Rhinolophus ferrumequinum: one gene and its partner. The protein of the gene in region 2 interacts with the protein of the main gene of each other region in a biochemical or structural test. Links are inferred from orthologs where the notes say so. Each region holds a gene or a part of one and is shown on either strand. Other genes may lie near its edges.

The links. The genes of interacting proteins can lie anywhere in the genome.
Region 1: the proteins of GAB1 (region 2) and GRAP2 form a complex in vitro, tested with the Homo sapiens proteins (2 studies listed by BioGRID and IntAct, with this or other methods). The link is inferred for Rhinolophus ferrumequinum from reciprocal best matches to the Homo sapiens genes GAB1 and GRAP2.

The regions. Positions count from the first base shown.
Region 1 is NC_046293.1:7,688,870-7,699,418, reverse strand, and holds the start of GRAP2 (GRB2-related adapter protein 2), read left to right. Parts: upstream 1-6,600; 5' UTR 6,601-6,829; intron 6,830-10,549. UniProt on the Homo sapiens protein: Interacts with SLP-76 to regulate NF-AT activation. Binds to tyrosine-phosphorylated shc.
Region 2 is NC_046301.1:17,748,355-17,758,658, forward strand, and holds the start of GAB1 (GRB2-associated-binding protein 1), read left to right. Parts: upstream 1-6,251; 5' UTR 6,252-7,068; coding exon 7,069-7,140; intron 7,141-10,304. UniProt on the Homo sapiens protein: Adapter protein that plays a role in intracellular signaling cascades triggered by activated receptor-type kinases. Plays a role in FGFR1 signaling. Probably involved in signaling by the epidermal growth factor receptor (EGFR) and the insulin receptor (INSR).

The DNA of each region.
Region 1 (10,549 bases), on a different chromosome or scaffold from region 2:
GCTTTGGCCAAGGCTGTTTTCCCCCGGAACTTTACCTGGATTGTAACAGGAAATCATTTAAGTTATCAAGTGACATTAAACTACTGGTCCACAATCTCTTATCTGAATCCTTTCAGGCCAGATGAGTTGCGGAATTCAAACTCAATTTTTCATTTTATCTTTTACTTTTGAAGGGTAATGCCATGCCTACACCATACATTGCACGATACCCACAGTGCGGTATGGGGTCACTTGAACAGTCAAACACATTAATACGACTGTAACAAAAACCTGTAAATATTTGGAATAAATTAAGACAAATGGCTCATTTCAGTTCAGGTCTTGTCGCCAAATAAGTTAGAGGGGATACTGGTTTTCAAAACTTTTGGAGTATCAGAATTAAGAACAAGGCATTGAGTTCAACTCAGGAGGAAATAGGGTTTGATCAAGGTTGTTTTGGGGGAATGATTATAGAGAATACTGTAGCATTAAGAGGTGTAACTGTTTTGATGGAAAGAACACTGCAAGAAGCGGAGAAACCGATTGTTTTGAGCCCCTCCTATGTGTTCATTAATTCATTCAGTTATTAGTTTTCCAGAGTTTATCATGTGACAGGCTCCATTCTAGGAAATGGAGAAATACGCACAAGACACAGTCCCCACCCTCTGGAGTAGATGCTACTCTACTGAATACTCCCAATGTGCTGGCACCTAGACATTCTCATATCTCATCTCATTACTTTAATTAGGATTCCAAAAACATGGCTTTGAGGTTCTGCTCGGCCATTTCCTAATTAAGGCTTACAACTTCTCTGGGCCTCAGTTCCCTATCTGCCGCATTAGGACTAATCACATGGGGGGGGCTGTTGAGAGCAAGAAACGAGATGCGTGGGTAAGAATTTTGAACATGAAGGGCGGAGGCTGAGAGAAAATCAACTTCCAGCGACTACCCTCTAAGAGCACACGATTTACTTGGAGGGGGAAGCTGGAAGCAGGAAAGCTTCTAAAAAGTGAGAGTGACGTGAGGGCAGCACACGCAGCAGGGCCCTCCCCCCTTCAGCCCGTGCGGCCCCGTCCACCTCCCCCCGGGCCTTGGGCAGCGGACAGCACCGGCGTGAGACGAGGCGGGTAGCGGACCCCTCCCGGCCCCCCTCCACCAAAAGGGAGTCTATTACCTGAGGGGAAGCTCCAGCTACCACATCAGGGCATTTTCCCACTCAAATTCACGTTCCCTGGTTCCCAGGCCCAACTGCCCATCCTTCCCCACTTCCGCTTCCTCACTTCCGGCCCCTCACTTCCGGCCTCTCCTAGGTCTGGGGCCCGCGTCTCCCAGGGCCTCAAGCTAGAGGAATGCTTGGGGCTAAAGTATCCCAGCCTGGGGATATCAAGTGGAATGAAAGTAAATGTCTTCATTTAACAATCTGTTGATCTGTGGTGCTGCCCGAATTCTCCTTTCAAAGAATAAATTTTACAACTTGGGTTAGTGTAATTTTAACTGAGTTGAAATGCCATCCGCAGCTGATTTCCATCTCAAAAGAGAAAGAAATTAATAGTAGGCTCTAGAGATTAAAAGAGCAGTGTGCGTGATGGGCAGTGATGGAGTGCCTTCACTGATGGCCTCGGGTACCACTGATGCGTAGTGGATGAAACATTCAGCTGATCTCCAGTGAACACCCACTCTGTGCCAGGCACCCTGCCAAGCAGTAGGGACCATGACCTAAAACACCAATGCAATGCTGGATGAGTTTACGGTCAAGTGTAGGTGACAGGCACCATCCCAGAAGATTGTGACAAGATGTGTATCCTGTAATAAGACAGGAGCGAGCATGTAATTTTGCCAAGGAGTACTTAAGGGCAGGTTTCACAGAAGAGTTTATATCAGAATTGAATCTTAAAGAATGACAGGGAGTTCACTGAATAGACAAAGGAGAGGAGGCCATTAGAGGCAAAGGGCGCCTGTGTAAAGGCTTGAAAGTTGAGAGCACCTATCATCTTGGTAAAACTGCCAGGACTGTAGTTACTATGGCTGTTGGAAAGGCTATTAGTAGAACAGCAGAGGGACATGAAGTGACAGGGGAAAATCAGATCATTAAGGACCTTGTCCATACTACTAGGTGATTTTATCCTTTAGGCATTGAAAATATAATAAAACCCTCGTTTTAAAGCATGTTGGTGGTTGAGTAGAATATGTCAACATTCCACTAGGGTGGAGGTGAAAGACTTAGGAGATGAAAGTAACATTTGTTTTCAGTTCCTACTACTTCAATTATAATTATTATTATAACAGATACTGACATGTAGATAGGTAAGTATAAAATAAGATGATAGGAGATGTGAAAGATGTTGGTGTGTTTGAAATATTGCTTAGCCTGCTATAATATAAAGTAGTGGGGGTAGGAGCCAGAGAGAAATTGAAAAGCTGGCCCAGAAACAGACTGTTCAGGGCCTGAATACCAGAGTAAGGTGTTATTCTATAAAGTAGTAGGGGACAAACAACAAGAATTTTGTATATTGAGTTACAGTTTATGAAGATTTTTTTCTATGCATATCTTATGTAAATTTCAAAGGAACTCAAAAGTAGGCATCAATTACTCCCATTGCACCTATGAGACAGTGAGTTTGAGCAACATGCATTCATTCTACATTACTGAGCACCTACTATGTGTCAGACACTGTGCTGAGTGATAGGAATACAAGGAAATTATAGTCTAACAGAGGAGACAGGAATAAGTCAGCAATTACAAGTTGCCTTGATAAAGGCAAGTATAGAGTGACATGGGAGTAAAAAGGAGATTTGTCTAAATCTACAAAGTTAGGGAAGGCTTCCTGGAGGAGGTGAACTTGAGCTGAGTTTGCAGGAACAAACAGGTTACATGAATTGCCCCAAAACATTCAACTAGCAGGTGATTTAGCTAGAACTTGAACCCAAATCTGCTGCATCCAATTCGATGCCCTTTCCCCTACCCTAAGGAGTAAGCTTGGGTCATTGACATTGCTTGAGTTCTGTTGGCATTCTCACTCACAAGTCTACCTTTTGTGTTTTCAGAAGGTCAGAGATTCCCAGATTTAAAAGAGAATAAAAAACCCATTCCTCTTCTTCTTTTAGAATGAATCTCTGGGTGAGTTCGAAATGGAATTGATTAGGCAAAAGCGTAAAGTGTTACATACCTGGTGGAATTAACTCTGTTAAAGTGGCATTATGTAAAAGGTCCTTCTTATCTGCTTTCCTCCATTTGGGGGCACCATAATTTAGTTGCAGTATTGTAGCATTCACCAAATGCAGACATCTTTTCACAACAGTTACTTGGTGTGTTTTTTCCCCCTGAACTCAGAATTTTACAAAAGACAACAAAGTTCTCTTCTCTTGATTTCTAGGGCATCACTGCTCCCTCCCATCTCCTTGGCTGGTTTCTCCTCATTTCTCTGACCTCTCAGCTTTGGAAGGGTTTGTTCTCTATCTGTATTCATTCTTTAGGTGGTTTTAGCCAGTTTCATAGCTTTAGACATCCTTTACTCTCTCAACAACTCTCAAGGTGTTATTACAGCCCTAACCTGTCCTGACCTTCCCGCTGATGTTTCTCACAAACATCTCGAATTTAATATGTCCAAAATGAAGCTCCTGATCTTCAAAACCATCTCCCCCATTTCAGTAAATGACAATCCTTGCTTCTAGCTTCTCCGCCCACGATCTTAGAGTCATCGTTGAGTCCTCTCTTTGTCTCTCATACCGCACATCATATCCATCAGTTCTCCTTTAATACAGGTGGCTCCCAAGTCTGGGTAGTATATGGTCAGTAGATAATAAACGGTTTATCAGTGCCACGTTCTAATACATGATAAAACATAATATTTATGTTTCCAGATTTTATGGTCACCCTGTATATTCAGAATTCAATCACTTCCCACCACCTTCACTTCCAACCACCTGTCCTAAGTTGCCATCATCTCTTGCCAGGACTGTTGCAGTAGCCTCCTAACTGGTCTCTCTGCTTCTGCTCTTGCTCCTTTACAATATAATCTCAACACAACAACCAAAGATCCTTTTAAAACTTAAAACCCAGGTCAGATCATATAACTCCCCAGTTCAAAACCTTCCATCAGCTTCCATCTCACTCAGAGCAAAATCCAGAGACCTTGCCATGGCTAGCAAGGCCCCACGTGTTCTAGCCCCTCCTCCCTCTCCAACCTCTCTCTTGACTCCTCTCCACCTCACTGACTGAGTCAGGCTTGCTCCCCCCTTAAGGCTTGCTGGTCCTTATACCTACAAAAACTGTTTCCTCAGAGAGCTATCAGGCTGGATCACTCACTTTGTTTTGGACTTGACTCAAACATCCTTTGCTCTCCCAGTGAAATCGCAACCCCCTCCCCACCTCAGCCACACTCCTTCTGACTCTTGCCACATTTTATGTTTCTCCGTGGTAGTACAACCATCTGACGTACATATTGTTTCTCCCTGTGCCAGAGGGTATGATCCAAGAGGGTGGGGACTATGTTTTGTTCGCTGATACATTCCCAGCACTTAGAACAGGCCTAACACAGAGTAGGTGTTCAAACGTTACTTATCAAATGAATGACAAGAGAATGTTTGGATCTACACTATTGAATGAGAAGTACACATTTTACCATAAAATTTAATTAAACATAATTATGCACAAGGAGTTTTGATATTAATAATGATCCCCTCAAAAGGAATTGATGAAAAATTTTAAACAAGTATGCTCTTAAAATTTCTCCACTGTGGATAAGTTCAGATTCCACATATTCCTTAACCTTCCCAATTGTGCTGATATTTTTTATGAGTGTCCATGACATTAAGGACTGAAATGCTGGCATTTTCACATTACGGTCTTTATTCTTAGGTCCTGCCTTAGCACTTGTTCAATTACAGAGCTGGTATGAAATGAACCACTGTAATGGCCTTGCTTCTCTCCCAGGGTGCTCTATAACACACCTGCCAATCATTACTTACTACCGAAATAACTCTCGCTGAGATGTTCCTTTCCTGCCTCTACCCCTTACTTGTAAGGGAGAGGGGCTCTAGTCTGCTCCCTGGGCACAGCGCCTTGTGGAAAAGCAGCTTCCTCATTAGGGTGTGAGCTGAAAACACCACCATACTTCCTATAGTTCAACACTTCCTCTTTCTTCTCATTCCCCAGTCAGGGAAGTTTTAGGGACTCAGCGTTTAACCACCTCTGAACACTGGCTTGGGATAAGGACTGTGGCCAGAGGATTTCAGTGTTCAAAAACTGGCAAAGGAGCTGGTGGGTGTAGCGAATATCCAGGTCGTCACACCATAAAGACTGAAGAACACTGAGGCCAACCATTGTTTTAAAATCAGCAACATGTCGTTATCTCGAAAATCCTATCTTTATAGTATGTGGAAATAATGGGGACCCTATTCAGACACAACTTGAATTTAAGAACATTCAACAAGCCAGCATTCATAAAAAGAAAGTCCTTCATTAAGGAATTAAGAGTAGCAAATTATTCCTTTTAACTCATTCAACACATATTTACTGAGCACCCACTGTGATCAAGGCACTCTGCTGATTCTATACCAGATTCTTCTTTTCTATTTCAACAAAAATATTGAGCAATTGTAGCCAAGGGAAAAGTTCAAAACAAAGAGTAACTCTTGAGCAAGATCGAAGTATAAAGGGGCAAAGAGATAGAAAAAGATACCATTTCACATTAGAGAATAAGGTTAAATTTTAGAACCCCAACTTGAGTCTTATATGGTACTCTCCTTCTTAGCCTTCAAGGGATTAATGCCAGGGACATCCTGTGAGCCCACATTTCCCTCTTTCTTTTGGATCTGGTCCCAAACTCTGAATTGTACCACTTAGCAACTAGCAACTTGTCTAATTTTTGTGCAAAAGATGCAACGCTGCAATCCATTTTCTAGCAAGAGCAAAGAGAGAGGAAGAGGCCTTCGTGAGTTGGTATAGGAGAGAGGAACTTCAAGAGGAGGGCGAGCTATGCATTTGAAGGTAAGAACTGAGAAAGTTGAAGGTGACAGAAACTTTAGGTCAGTGAAAACCCTTAAAATCCCAGACATCCTCTCGTCCAACCAACTCAAGAGAAAATGAATCTCAGAAATTGAAGCAACCAGTCCCAGTTCATGTCTGACAGTGATAAAACTGGGATTAGAACACATCCTGGCTCAGAGCCTTTTTATTTTGTTTTGTTTCAAGGGTGATTTTATGGGCTAAGAGTAATACTGTAGGTTGAGTGCACTAAGAACGCATTTTCTCTGGGATTTTAATATTGTGAGCGATCTAGGGTGGTATTAAATAAGTTCCCCTAAGAATTCCTACCGCTTCTCTGAATGCATGGCTATGCTAAGAGAAAATGAGAGTTTTCCTTCAGGCCAGCAGCAGCTTGCCAATGGACCATCTCTAGGATTAGAAATTTTCTTATGTGAACATAATCGTTCACGGAGGAAATTGTTAAAATTGAAACCAAGCACAAAGAAGCAAAAGTGTTTCATGGAACCTTCTGCATTTTAGTTCAACTCTGGCAGCAAGAAAACAAAACCACACAATCTAAGGCTCACGCCCAACACTCTGAAGCCTCATATCTGCTAGTTCCTGTGTGGTTTGCCTACAGACTGCAGGGCTGACTGGGGGCCGTTTGGAGGAGGGAGTCTGAAGTGAGGAGGAGGCGCCAGTAATGGATCTGTGAGCGTGTGTGTCCTCTGTTAGTGTGGTACCTGGACGACAGCACAAGGTGGATCCGTACTCTGAAATGCAGTAAACTGGATGTGAATTCGTCTTCCTTCTTGCAAGAGAGGATTCTAATAACTTCGTGTCAAAGCCAAGATACAGATTCAACCTCATCTCGTCTAAAAGGTACGTCATTATGCAACATTGGTCCACATACTCTAGAGATCAGTTTTATAATTTGCAAGATGCTCTCCATGAGTCAAGTGTAATTAAAAGGAATCCCATGGGCTCTCCAAATATTGTTTTTAATATTTTGGTTCATCAGCTAAGGTACCTAAATCTTTTGCGATAGCAATGTTTGTGGTGGTAGGATTTGACTTCTAGCAAATGAACTAAGACTTGTTCCTTACCCAGCCCATTATACACACACACAAAAACTCTACTAACTGGCTTCTGAGCCTTCTCAGGGAGAGACTTTAGACTCTGGGATTACAGAGGTGAAATTCCACTTGACCATAGTCAGCATTTAATCCAAGCTGGGACGGGAGGGGGGAGGGTGAAGGGCTGAGCAGCCATGAATGAACGCTAGTATCAGATGTCAGGATTTCTCTCATGGCTTTCATTTCTACTTCTGTGAGTATTTAGGTTGCCCTTACAAAGAATGCCAGTTTGGGTTCCTTTACAAAAAAGAAAATCACGTTAAGATAGATTTCAAGAGGGTATTGTCTCTTTGTCTCTTTATTCAAGTTAACGCCGTATCCCTAAGACTGCCTTCCTTCAGGGGTGGAATCTTAAGACAACTCCTTTATGCTCTGTGCCCCACTTGTTCCTGAACATGAGGTCTGAATACACTACCCAAGATTTTACTAACTTTAAAGTATCACATTTACATACCCGGAACTAGGCCCTGTCAATAAAGTATATGCAACTTAATTTGCACATTACTAAAAATATACATCCCCAGATAAATTAAGAGTAGGGAAAATGTTTAGGATCCAAAAACCCAATGGAAAAGATTGTATGTGCTCATGTTATGTCGTGTGAGAAAGGAAAACCTCAGGTTGGAGACTCTTGTTCTATACAACTGCATGACTGTTCAGTTCTTTAGTGGGTCCCCCGCCCCTTTTTTTCTTTCTCATATTTGGTTTTAGAAGGAACATTTAGTATAAGTATATTTTGCTTTAACAACCCAGTATTGTTTATAAAACTTGACATTTGTAAAATAATTTTAAAGTGATTCTCTTTACAAAAGGCTCCATTACTAAACAAAGAATGCTGTGTAAATAGAGGACCATCTAAATGCATTTAAGTTTCAAGTTTTACAAATTCTTATTTGTATTCTTTTTTCGAGAACTTTTTTGGTTTTGTTGCAAAGAGAGATGGCCCCATATCATTGAATAAAATTACCTTTTCAGATTGAACTTGGGGTGTCTCCCATGTAGTAAACTGTAATCTTATTCTCCTAAATTGTAATAGATTTTTTTAAATGACTTTACTGAAGCAGAGGGGAAGGAGGTGATCGATTTGTTCAATATGAAGAAGTATCTCTATTGCTAATATAATATCCTTTTGAATAGCTTCCACATCTAAGGCCCTGATGAAAATCCCCCTTTTTAAAAAAATTTCAGTTGTTCTACATATACCTTATAGGGATATTGTAAGAATAAATGATTAACACAGATATGAAGTGCCTTAGGAAAAGGCATTAATGAAAATGCAAAATGATATCGTTATTAATTATTTCTTTGAGTTTTGATCATTTTCTTCCCACCTCTTATACAAAGTATATATTACCGCCTGAAGCCCTCTCTTTTAAAACCATTGCCTTCTGGAAGAGCTGAAAATGACCCTAGTTCCCACATATTTTTTGTGTCTCAGAGAATAACACCCAATGGTATTGGTGACTTGTAGGGTTTATCCCTAGACTTGAGCAGAACTTACCTCTTTTCCTGGATCAAGAAAAGTCTACATTTGTTCAAAAATGTGTCATTAAGTGTGATTCCATCAGGATTTCTTAAACAAGTAACGGTAGCTTCTGAATTAGTCCTAGGGACAGATTCTCCATTTTCGTGCCCTCACAAAACGAACTCAAAAGTTGGTCAAGAATCTTCGTGACCTAAGTTATTTGAATCAAAGGATAGAGTCAATTGGCCCTCATTTTGTCGATCACAAGTATTTGCCCAGCATATCTTGATCCGTAAAGAAACAACATAGCCTCATGTCTCTCTCTTTCCTTTTTCTTTTTTTTTTGTCACTTTACAATTTTCAGGAAAGCGTAGTACATAAATAAACATTTACAAACATTTATTGAGCATTTACTATAAGTTGGGCCCTGGGTTAGGCATTGCGTTCTCATCGACAATGTTAATACTAGTCTTTAATACATTTTAGCCAATAGGAAGTCAGTAAATAATTTTTTAAAAACAGTTTTTTTAAATATGCATTCAGAGGTAAACATTTTAAAGCATTAAAAAAAAAAAAACCTATTACTAAGTACATGAAAACAAAAGTCTTACATGTTCTCCCAAGAACATGTAAGCATAGATCTTATGAAGACAGTAAAGAAAACGTTCAAAAGTAAAGTTGAACTATTAGTACATTGAATACCTCCATACTCACCACCTAGATTCAACAATGGCAAACATTTTGATATATCTGTTCCATCTATATGTATTTCTTTCTGAACTACTTGTAAGTTACAGACAAAATGACACTTCACTCCGAAACAATTCAGTACACATCTAAGAAGAAGGACATTCTCATAAGTAATCACAATATCATCATTACCTAAGAAGACGAACAGCAATTCCTTAATATCATCAAATATCTAGGCCATATCGAACTTTTGCCATTTGTCCCCCAAATGTCTTCCATAACTTAAAAATGGATCCAATTTGTAAAAAGGAAAGCACATTTTTTGCATTTGGGTTTTATGTGTTTTTATTCTACATTGGATTCTTTTTAAGGGTTAGGCTAGTTATCTTGTAGAATGTTCCACATTCTGGATTTGTTGATGCCTGATGGTGTTATTTAATTTGTTCCTTTACCCCCTGTGTTTTCTGTAAACTCCAAGTTCGAAGTAAAGCATTGATTCACTTTTGACTGAGCATTTTTTACAAGGTGCTCCATATTGCATCTCATCAGGAGGCACGTAATGCCAGGTTGTCCCTCTGTGATGCTTACTTTGATCATGGCTCAAAGCAGAGATCTCACTCCAGGGGTCTCTCCTTTGTAAAGGTACTTTTCTCTCCTTTGCAATTAACAAGTAATCTGAGCGAGTGACACTTTGGCGCTGTGGTAATAGCCTGTTTCCCAACAAACTTCACCAGTGGCTTTAGGGGAAAATCCTTGCCTAAATCAACTATACCGTTGGGGGTCATATACATTTTAGCACACTTTGAGGAAGGATTGGACATACAAATTCATCATTAGCAGCAGCAACAGCAGATATTTATTGAGTATATAAGTTCAGGTAATAATACTAATACTACCAACCATAATAATAATAAGTAACATTTCCCGAGTGATTGCTGTGGATCCAGACATTCTAGGTTTGAGGCTGAGCCTCCAGTTACAAACTAGGCCAACTGGGACAAGTTGCTTAGTCTTTCTGTTCCTTAGTTTCTTAACCTATAAAATGAGAGTAATAATGGCACCTATCTCATCATATTGTTTTGAAGATTAAATAATTGATACATGTAACATTCCGAAAACAGCGTCTGTTATCTGCCAAGCACTGGTCTGACGTTTTGCAGGTATTAACTCATTTGCTTCTCATAATAGCACAGTGAAGTAAGTGCTAATATTATCCTTCTTTCACAAGTGAGGAAACTGAGGTACAGAGAGGCTAAGTCACTTGCACAGTCATTTAATTAGTATGTGAGAGAGCCTGGATTTGAAGCACGG
Region 2 (10,304 bases):
CATTGTATCTTCAAATAGTTTTCTGTGCCCCTCCTGGAGACTGCGATTACGTGAATATTAGGTCACTAGAAGTAATCACATTTCACTGATGCTTTGTTCATTATTTTCAATCTTTTGTTATCTCTGTTTCATGTTGCTGTATGTTCAAACTCACTATCTATTCTTTTGCAACATCTAATTTGCTGTTAATTGCATGCAGTATATTTTTCATGTTAGTCACTGTATTTTCTTCTCGAGAAGTTTTATTTAGGCCTTTGTAATATCTTCCATGTCTCTGCTTTATATGTTAAGTCATTCCTCTAGCTTCTTGAACATGGGGTATAGTTATAACAACTGTTCTGTTTTTGTTAACTAATTTTAATGTCATTTCCAGGTTGGCTTCAATTGATTTATCTCCTCATTTTGTGCCATACTTACTTGCTTTTTAAAATTTCTTGTTGGATGTCAAATATTATACATTTTATCTTGTTAGGTGTTGGATATTTTTGTTTTCCTACAAATATATGTGAGCTCTTGTTTGGGACATGATTAAATTACTTGGAAACAGTTTGATCCTGGGGGATCTTGCTGTTAAGACTTCTTAGGAAGGACCACAGCAGCGGTTAGTCTAGGGCTAGTTTTGCCCCACGATTGAGGGTATCCTTCAGGGTACTCTACAGTGCCCTGTGAATTATGTTTTTCACTCCGGCTGGGAGAATAGGAACTATTTCTACCCCGTGCCACCTCCTGGTGAGTTTTCCCTGTAATCCTTTTCAGTGGCTCTTTCCTTAATGTCAAGTGATTTCTTTACCTGCATCTGCTGATCAGTATTCAGCTGAAGACTCAAGGGGTCCACTTGAATGGGAATCTCCAGAGTTCTGATCTGAGAGCTGGGGAGAAGATCATGATTCTGATCTTGTTAATTCTGTGGAGCCAAGTGCCATATCCCGAAGACAGTTGGATTTACAGGTTGGTTGTTCAGAAGAGAGAACTGAACTGGGGATGGAAATTTGTGAAATGTCTAGGTACAGATAAACACACAGATACCACCATACATGAAAAAGTAGAGAATGAGAAGAGAGGCGGGCTAGATTTCAGAATGCCAAGGGCCAGTAAAAGAAGAGCCTGCAAAGAAATCTAAGATGGAGCAAGGAAACAGGAAGGTTCAAAACTGCAATATCTCTAAGATCAAGGGTACTGAGAGTTTTAGGAAGGAGTGACTGAGAAATATAAAGACTGAAAATTATTGTTTGATTTAGTGATGTGGGGGTCAGAGTGACCTTTTCAAGTATAAGAGAAATTGGGATGATAGCCAGAAAGAAGCAGTCTGAGGAGTGAAGGAAGATGAGAACTAGGAACAGAAACTATAGCAACACTTAATAGAAATCTGGCTGTGAAAGAAGAGAGAAAAGCTGGTAGCTAAAAAGGAATATAAGATGTAGACGTTTTTTCACATTGTTTTGTTTTAACAGAAAAGAGGTATGTTTAAAATGATACTTTGACAGAAGAAATGTATGTTGAAAATGTATAATTTAACTCAGTTTTAGAGAACTGTAATCTATTATTGCCTACAATAATTTTGTCAAATACAGTGGAACCAACTTTCATTTTAATTTTTCAATTGTTTATGCAGGATAATGCTAATATTAGGGAAGAGTTAAATAATCTGCAACTACATGTTATCAGCAACTTCACATAAGATTCTCTCTCACAATAGCTACTTTAAAGGGCATTATAGTACACTTCCATTTTAAAAAACATGTGTTTGTGTGTGTGTATGTATGAGTCTGTGTGTATGCACACCCAATCATATCATGGTGGTATAAAGCAAAAATTGGCAAACTATGGCCCTTGGCCAAATCTGTCTTGCCACTTGTTTTTGTAAATAAAGTTTTATTTGAACACACACATGCACATAGTGATGGAAAGAATTACATTGAGAATGGAGTATTTAGATATAAAAAGATCATTTACAGGGTGAGGTTCTTGAGACAGTGCAATGGGATGAAATTCAAAGTATAAGTGGAGAGATTGGCCTTTCACAGGCGAAAAGCAATGTCCTTATTTGCCATAGGAAGCGGAAGAGTAAGAGGAGTGAAGATAGTATGTAGGTTTGCATGTTTGATGTTTGATGGCTAGAAGTCAAAGGAGTTTCCATTTGAGCACTTTGGTTTTCTGGGGAAGCTATAAGAAAGATAGTCAGTTGATGGGAAAAGTAGAGGGTTTGAAAATTTGAGAAATCTGAAGAAAGTTTAAGAGTTATTGTAAGCATTATTCATTATAGCCAAAAATTAGAAACAAGCCAAATGCCCATCAACTGATAAATGGGTAAATAAAATGTGTTGTATCCATACAATCGAATATTGTTTAACAATAGAAAATGAAGTACTGATACATGCTACAACCTGCACAAACCTTTAAAACTTATGCTAACTGAAAGAAGCTAGTCACAAAATGTCACAAATTGTATGTTGCCACTTATGTGAAATGTTCAAAAGAGGCAAATCCATAGAAGCAGAAAGATTAGTGGTTCTCAGGGGCTGAGAGGGAAGGGGGAATGAGAATGGAGTTTTTATTTGGGGCAATGAAATATTCTGAAATTAGTGGTGTGGTTGAAGAATTTTATGAACATACTAAAAACCATTGAATTGTACACTTGAAAAAATGTGAATTTTATGGCCTATGAATTATACCTCAATAAAGCTGTTATTTAAAAAGAAAAGTTATTTCAGAGGGTAGACTAGTGAGTGTACTGTCCAAATAAATGAAGTAGGATTGCTGACTAGCAGAGACATCCATGAAGCTAATGAATCTTCAGCTCGGAGCCACTCATTGCACAGGCCCCCAGGAGAATAGGGAGCTGATGGGAAAGGTGCAGTGTGCTGCTTGGGAGGGGAAGCCAGGATGCACTCAGGAAACATATCCATGGGAGGATTCTGGTAAATCATCACAGAGATCTCAAAAGAAATGCATCTGTAGTCCTAGGCTCCAATCATTTGTTATTTATTTTCTCATTCTAAATACACTTTCATCCTAATTTTATATTTGTAATTGTATATTCTTTTCCTTTAAAAGAACTTCCCAAACCGTATAAGCTTCAGGTCCCAGAAGACCAAGATCTGCCTGTGCTGATAGCTGAGGAGCTATTGGAGGTCATTAAATGTGAATTTTTTAGTGGTGTCACTCATGCGTAACTTGCTCCAGCATCACTTGATGCAGGAGAAAGCAGACTGGGGTTCATTCAGAGTTGGGGTTTTGTGAGTTTGGTGTATGTTATTAAAAATATGGACCATAAAATTTAAACTGGATAAGGGGTGAAGAAAGGAGAGGTCTGATGGATCATGAGAAAGCAGAGGTATCAACAGGCTGCAAAAGCTGTTGAGAAGAAAGATTATATTGGAAAAACTTGAAAGATCAAGTTGAAGATATCTGGTTAAAGTGGGATGCTGGAGGTGAATAATAAAGCCCATAGAGGCAATTGTTGGAGGTGATTTGAAGGTCACAGGAAATGACGTGGTCATTTGCTCTAAGGAAAAGTCCAAACTCTGAGATCTCCAGGGGTCTGCACAATCCTTCCCTTGCCTGCCTCTGGAACCTCACCCTCTCACCCAGTGTCCCCTCTCACTCGCCCCACTGCTGCTGTCTTTTAGGTACTCAGGAGCTCCCTCCAGCCTGACTTGTAACCTAGTAGTTTCTCTTTTGTCTAGAACACTCTTCTCCACAACGTGGCCAGGCCAACTTGTACTCATCCTGAGAACCTCAGTTTAAAGTCTTTTCCAAAGGAAGTCTTTCCTAACCTGCTCACTCTCCTTCCATGGAGGGTAGACCCGGTTATACACCCAAATAACACACTCTATTTTTTTTTCTTTCATAACATTTATTAATTGTATTATAGAAGTTATGGGGTTAATTATCTTAAAACCTTTTTTTTCCAGGATAGAGGACTACGGGAACATGTCTGGCTTTCCTCCCTATCGTATCTGTGGTCCTCAGGGACTTATACATACTAGGATATTCCATAAATGTTTGTTGTAGGAATGAAATTTAAAATACTTATGTATAATAGCTTTTTCCAGCATATCTTTTAGATATAAAAGGTAACAGATAATCGAAAAATGGCATATGATGTAAAATAATGCAACTGTCTTGTCTAAAATACATACATGGAGACGTATCTATTGTCAACCTCTCCTCAACCCTTATTTGGTCTCTAGAAATTCTCATCTAAATCAGAGTCAATGATATGGAAAAATATTTAAAGATTTCTTATATAGAAATGAGATAACTGAATCCCTTCTTTGAAATATATATATATATATATATATATATATATATATATTTAATTATTGGAGCTTCCAAAAGCTAAATAGTACAAGATACATTACGATTTTTCTTTCAAAACAACTTTAGAACAGGAGTGGAGACAGTGGTAAATAAAAGCCAACAGTTAACTAAGCAAGGGTGGACCCGTCTTACCAAAGTTAATTATAAATGCTTTTGACTTGGTGTAGACACACTGCCTATGGGAGAAGTGAAAACAAATTCGATGATTTATTTTGGCCTGTGGCAAAATTTGTGTTCACATACCATTTCCCTGAAAATAAGACCTAGCAGACCCAGTCTTATAGTAAAATAAGACCAGATCTTATATTAATTTTTGCTCCAAAAGATACATTAGAGCTGATTGTCCAGCTAGGTCTTATTTTCCGGGAAACACGGTACGTAAAAAGAAATTATTTTGGTTCATTAGCTGCCATAAAAATTACTCACTTGTGTTCTTAAAAAACCCTTACAACAAACATCTTGCTTGTTCTTTCTCTCTCAGTCCTCCTTACGGTTATGCCTTTTATTCTTCCACAAAACGAGTCTAGTTCTCTCTTTACAACGTCTTTCAAATATCGGGCTAAATGCCTCCTCAAGGAATACTTATCTCTTATCCTATCTAACCTAGTTCCATCCCATTGTTCTTTCACCTTATCGGGTTTATTTCCCTCACGGCACAACATTTATCACAATCTGTACTCCATAGACCTTTCACTTTTTTACTCTCCTATGCCACCACGGGAGTGTCACCTCCATGAGTGTAGGAACTTGTGTATATCGCCACCCCAGCACTTAATTTCCTACTATAATTTTACATTTTCAAACTCAGAGGAAGTCCTGAATATGAACGTGTGTAAATAAGAAAACGCCTGAGGTTGTTTCCAGAAATGTTCACTTATCTCCTAATATTTTAGTATTTTTATCTGATTATTTATGTTACCTTCTAAAATTTGTGTTGGGGCTTAGTTTTTCATAAATAAGTTGGAAAAGATATTTCTATTACAGGATCATGTTAATCTCAGGACCAGGTATCATAATTGTAAAACACACACAAGTAGGCAAATAGAACTAGGACATCCAGTAACTTGCCCTTTTCTCGTCCAACATCCCAAAGGGAGACTTTAAACAAATACAAAGTCAAGTGGAAAAAACTGGCAACAAATGGAGGGAGTGTGAGGCTTTACAGTGTCCCAGAGATTGACTCAATCGAATCCTTTGGCCCCTCTAAGAGATCCCACCACTCTGGCAGGGCTGCTCGGGGGACCAGACCACGCTAGCCCGGGTGGGTCCTTCTGTCCTCCCCTTCAGGCAGGTATCTATGGCGCGCTCCCACGCGCCCTCCGCCCTCGGCCCTTCGGTTTCCCAGGCAGGAATCGGCGGGGTCGCTGCCTCCCCAAGGCTCTGCGGTCGCCCTACCGGCTCTTTTACTTTGCAGGCTGTCAAATAGAGAAAACTTCCCGAACTCCAGATCTCATGCAGTAGTACAAACTCCGAACTGACACCCGGGTGAGCCAAGATGGTAAACACTCGAACGTTCCTCACTCTCCCCGCGCCCAAGTCTCAACAGCGATGGCCTTGCCGAGGCTACTCCTCCCGTCCCCAGCACAGAGCGGGCTGGGGGCTCCGGCCGCCACCGCCACTGGGAGGCGGAGGACCCCGCTCCAGCTTCCAGAACTACAGATCCCAGGGTGCCTCTCGGACTCCCGTTCCCTCCCTCTCTCGCTCCCTCCTCCTTTTTTCCCCTCCCCCCTGGCCCTTGTTGTTTTGGCTGGAAGCCCTCGGGCGGAGTTTCAGAGAAAGTCTGGGCAGAAACCGGAGCCGGCCCCAACGTGGGAAGGGGAGGAGAAAAGGGAGGAAGAGGGAGTCGGGAGCGGGAGGGATCGGGGCCGTGGGCCGGGCGGCTCAGAATCTGCCGCTGGCCCCGGGTGGGGGAGGCGGCGCCGAAGGAGCGCAAGGGGACGGGACAGTGGGATCCATCCCCAGAGCCGAGAAGCCGAGCGCCTGGTTCCTCCCCGCTCCCCGCCCTCTTCGGCGGCCGCGAGCGTGAACCCACCCTCCGGCGAAACCTGCTGGGTCCCTAGCGCCTGCCGCCCTGCGCTGCCCAGCGCTTGGCGGCCGACTCAGGACCTACCCTGCGCCCACTGCCCACCGGACCCTCGCAGTTTTCCCTTTCCTCCCCGCTTCCCGGGCGTGCGGGGCAGTGACCCGCCATCCTCCGACGAGGGCGAAGGGGAGGATTGTCCCGGGCGCACCGAAACCGAGAGCGGGCAAGCTGGAGTGGACGCTGCGCGGGGCATTGTGTGTGTGAGTGTGTGTGTGCGCGTGCAGCATAGTGTCTTTCGGAAAGCACTCTGGGGAGGTCCTGTCCCTAGGGGGCGGAGCGCAGGGGACCGAGGCTCCTGCTCCGGGCCGGGGCAGAGTCCCACGGATCCCGATCGCTGCTGAGGAGGCCGCGGGACGGGGCGCCTGGCTGGAAGGCGGACGCCGTGAAGGGAGGCCGGGGCGCCCTCGGTCCGGGGACTGCCCCTGCTCCGAGGTGTCGGCCTCCGCGGCGCAGCCCGTTTCTGTTCAAGTTCGCGGATCTGCGAGAGAGAGCCTCGGACGCGGAGAGCCGGCACTCCTAGTAGCCCGCCCGCTCCGTCGGCCCGAGCTGCGCGACCGGAGAGCGAGGTCCCAGCGTCTGCGCTACCGGCAGGCGTCGACTGTATCGGGATCGCGCCCGCCCGCCCCTCTGCTGCCCGGGCCGGAGCCCGAGAGGCGCGCACCATGAGCGGCGGCGAAGTGGTCTGCTCGGGATGGCTTCGCAAGTCCCCCCCGGAGAAAAAGTTGAAGCGTTATGTAAGTACAGTTTCGGCGGGTGCTCCACGGGCCTCGGTGCCCACACCTCTCTCTGGCAGCTGCAGCTGGCCGCGCGCGGGGCTGGTTGGACCCCATCTCTTTCCCCTCGGCCCCTTTGGGACCGAGTCTGTACACTCATGTTCTGGCCTCCACTTTGACGGGCAACTTTCTTCAGACTCCAGACGCCTGCTTTGCGGGCCTCTTCAGCCCAGAGGAGGGCCCGGCATTTCCAGCTAAACGCCCGCTGCATGTTTTTATTATTCCTTTTAGCAGCGGTGGGGAGAAGAGCATTCTCCTTCCTTTATATCTGCATCTAATCATTATGGGGCTGCTGTGTACTACATTTCTCGCACTAGGAAATTCGCTGAGAATGTAGAACTCACCAGCCCTCTCTTTGGTCCGTACACCCTCTTGCCTTCCCCTGGAGGTAGATTGCGAGAAGCGGGCTGTGGACCTGGATAGTTGGTTTAGAGTTAGACGCAAGCATCTCCAATCCGCGAAAAGAAGAAGAATGAGAAGTTATTACGCGCTCTACCGTTTGCTTTGCAGGGTTCACATTTTCGCGGTTTTGAATCCAGCAACATTGGAGTTTGGCCCTAGAGCCTTAGCAGCTTGCTGCGAGAGGAGGGCGCTGGGGGGAGCCTGGTGGCTGGTGTTTGGGTGCCTTGGACACGCTGTCAAGCCCCGCAGGAGGGGACAGCTGAGGCCAGGAAGGATTTCTGTGGTCCTTTTCCAGGCCACCAGAGTTGCTTAAATGGTATTTGTGTAAGTGGTACAAGATGACGATTATGTGTTAAACCGTTTTAGGTGTTATGGAAAACATTCCTTGAAAGAACCAACCTTACTTTGGTGGAAATCTGTGTCCTCTTCCGGGGACTGGGATTTTATCCTGTTTTCCCCCGTGGGTCCTTTTGTTGCTGCCCCCCTGCTAAGGAAAGAAATGACACTATTGCCCTGGCATATGGAGCAAATTTTTTTTAGTCAAATGTGTTTCAAAAGCAAAATTTAATATATAAATATATATTAAATATATATTAAATATAAATTGACTACCAAGGGACCGACACCGCTAATGGAACCTGTTTCTTGTTGAAGGATATTTAACCCAATATTAGACTGGGGTTAATCCTGTTAGTCACTGTTTGCCAAAGAATGGAGTGAAGTGCAGTATTTAGCTTCACTGAGAATTGACCAGTGAATTTCTGGTTTACTTTCTGCCATAATTGTTATAACAATTCTCATTTAAGGACTTGATGCCACACATCCTAAGAAAGTTTGCCAGAAGTTTTGAATCCTTCCAAATCCTGTCTCTCCACCTATCACAGTTTGCATTACTATCCTGGTAAAAATGCTAATTTTATTTCAAACATTTGGGAGAGGCAGTGGTTTTTTTCAGCTCTTAGTTTTAAACAGAAGGATGTATGTGTGTAAGAAGAGAGAGCAGGGAGTTAGAAAGAGGTATTTGTTTTGAGAAGGCACAGTTTGGGAAAGATGTAAACCTAAATGGTTGGGTTCTTCGGGGAACTAAAGTACAATACATTTGCCGAAATAGGTAGTGGCGATAGAGGTTTAATGTATTCTTTCACATAGTTGGTCTATGGTTCTCTCAAAAGATGCTGTGTACTGGGCTACGAATCATAAGATTAGGAAATACAGTAGGAGAAAAGCCCCATCTCTTGGACTTGCAATTTAATGTAATATAAACCAGAAAGAAAATCGGCCAAAAAATTATCTTAAAAGGGACAAAAGAAAAAAGGAAAGTCTAAATTAAAAAAAAATATTATTTCATTTAATCATCCCAAAGTTTTATGAGGTAGGTATTATCTCTGTTTTTCAGATAAGAAAACAGTCTGCATTACCAGAATGTGCCAGAGGCAGGATTTGAACCCATATCTGCCTGACTGACTGGGCTGTAAGAGGTTAACGAGTCTCATCCAGTTCATTTCAAGTGGAGCTCAGACTAGATCATCTCTAAAGGTCCTCTTAGATTATAACTTTCTAGGAGTCTATGAATATTCAGAATACAAGGAGAAGGTCAGGTGCGGATCAGACGTGCACTGCTAATGACACATGAGACCCTTCAGGCAGCTTTCTGAGTCTTCAAGAAGATGAGACAAGTACAATGTAAAGTGGTTTCTGATTGTGTGCCCACGCTGAATGCTGTGGTTTTATGTTTGTTTTTTAATAGTTGTTTTGAGGAATAAGCTTAGTGTAGTCGGAAAATATAATACTTGAGAGAGACATTAGTCTCCCTAAGTTGTGTTTTCAACAGGGAGAAGAATCTGCCTAACAGCTGGAGGGAGGCTGAGTTTTTCTTGCCCAGCCAAGTATTCGTGTTTTCTTTACACATTAATGAAGTGCATGGGGATAGCCCAGGAAGATAGTGGGCAGCGTGGCTCTCAGGATTGAGGGGTCCAAGAAGGCGACTGGGGGATTACAAGTTAAAATGAGGCTGATCGTATAGTTTCGCTGTCAAGTTGGTTGCCCAGAAGATTTCGAAATTCCCAGATTATTGATCTTGTGGCTTTGGTATACAGTTTAGGTTGCTTTTGCTAAGCCAATTTCAACCCTCAAAGATATAGTCAATGAATTTATGCATTTCCTGTGCTTGAGTTTCTTTTCATGTAAAATCTTGATTTTCTGGATAGAAGGAAACATTGTTAGCCACCCAACAGGCAAAATGTTGCTTGATAATGGTTTTTAATGAATGGATTTGCTGTGAAAAGATACTTGGATTCATGGTACTATAATTGTTAATTGAGACTTCAGAGAATTTGAGCATTGATTCTGTTGGGAAACATTTGGTCCATGGGACTTTGACAGTTGTCTTGCTGTTTACAGTATTTATAGGGTAGTCCAAACATTCATTAAGATGATCCATAAGGGCTTTTAAGTGACAAAAAAAATGTTTTAGTTTTATCTTTAAAGTCATCTCAAGTTATGGCCCCAGTGTGTTCCATTTACAACTCCATTTTATATTTACTGTTTGATAGTCTACTCAGGCAGTGTTGTTTTTGCATACTAGTGTGTTCATCTGATATGGAAGCTTTCCTTGAATTTCCTAAATAGAGTGAAAGTGGCATAAAAGAAAGTGAGAGAAAGACGGCAATGGTTAGCGGATTCCCTAGGCTTTATGTCTCTTCTTCACTTTTTCTATATTTACT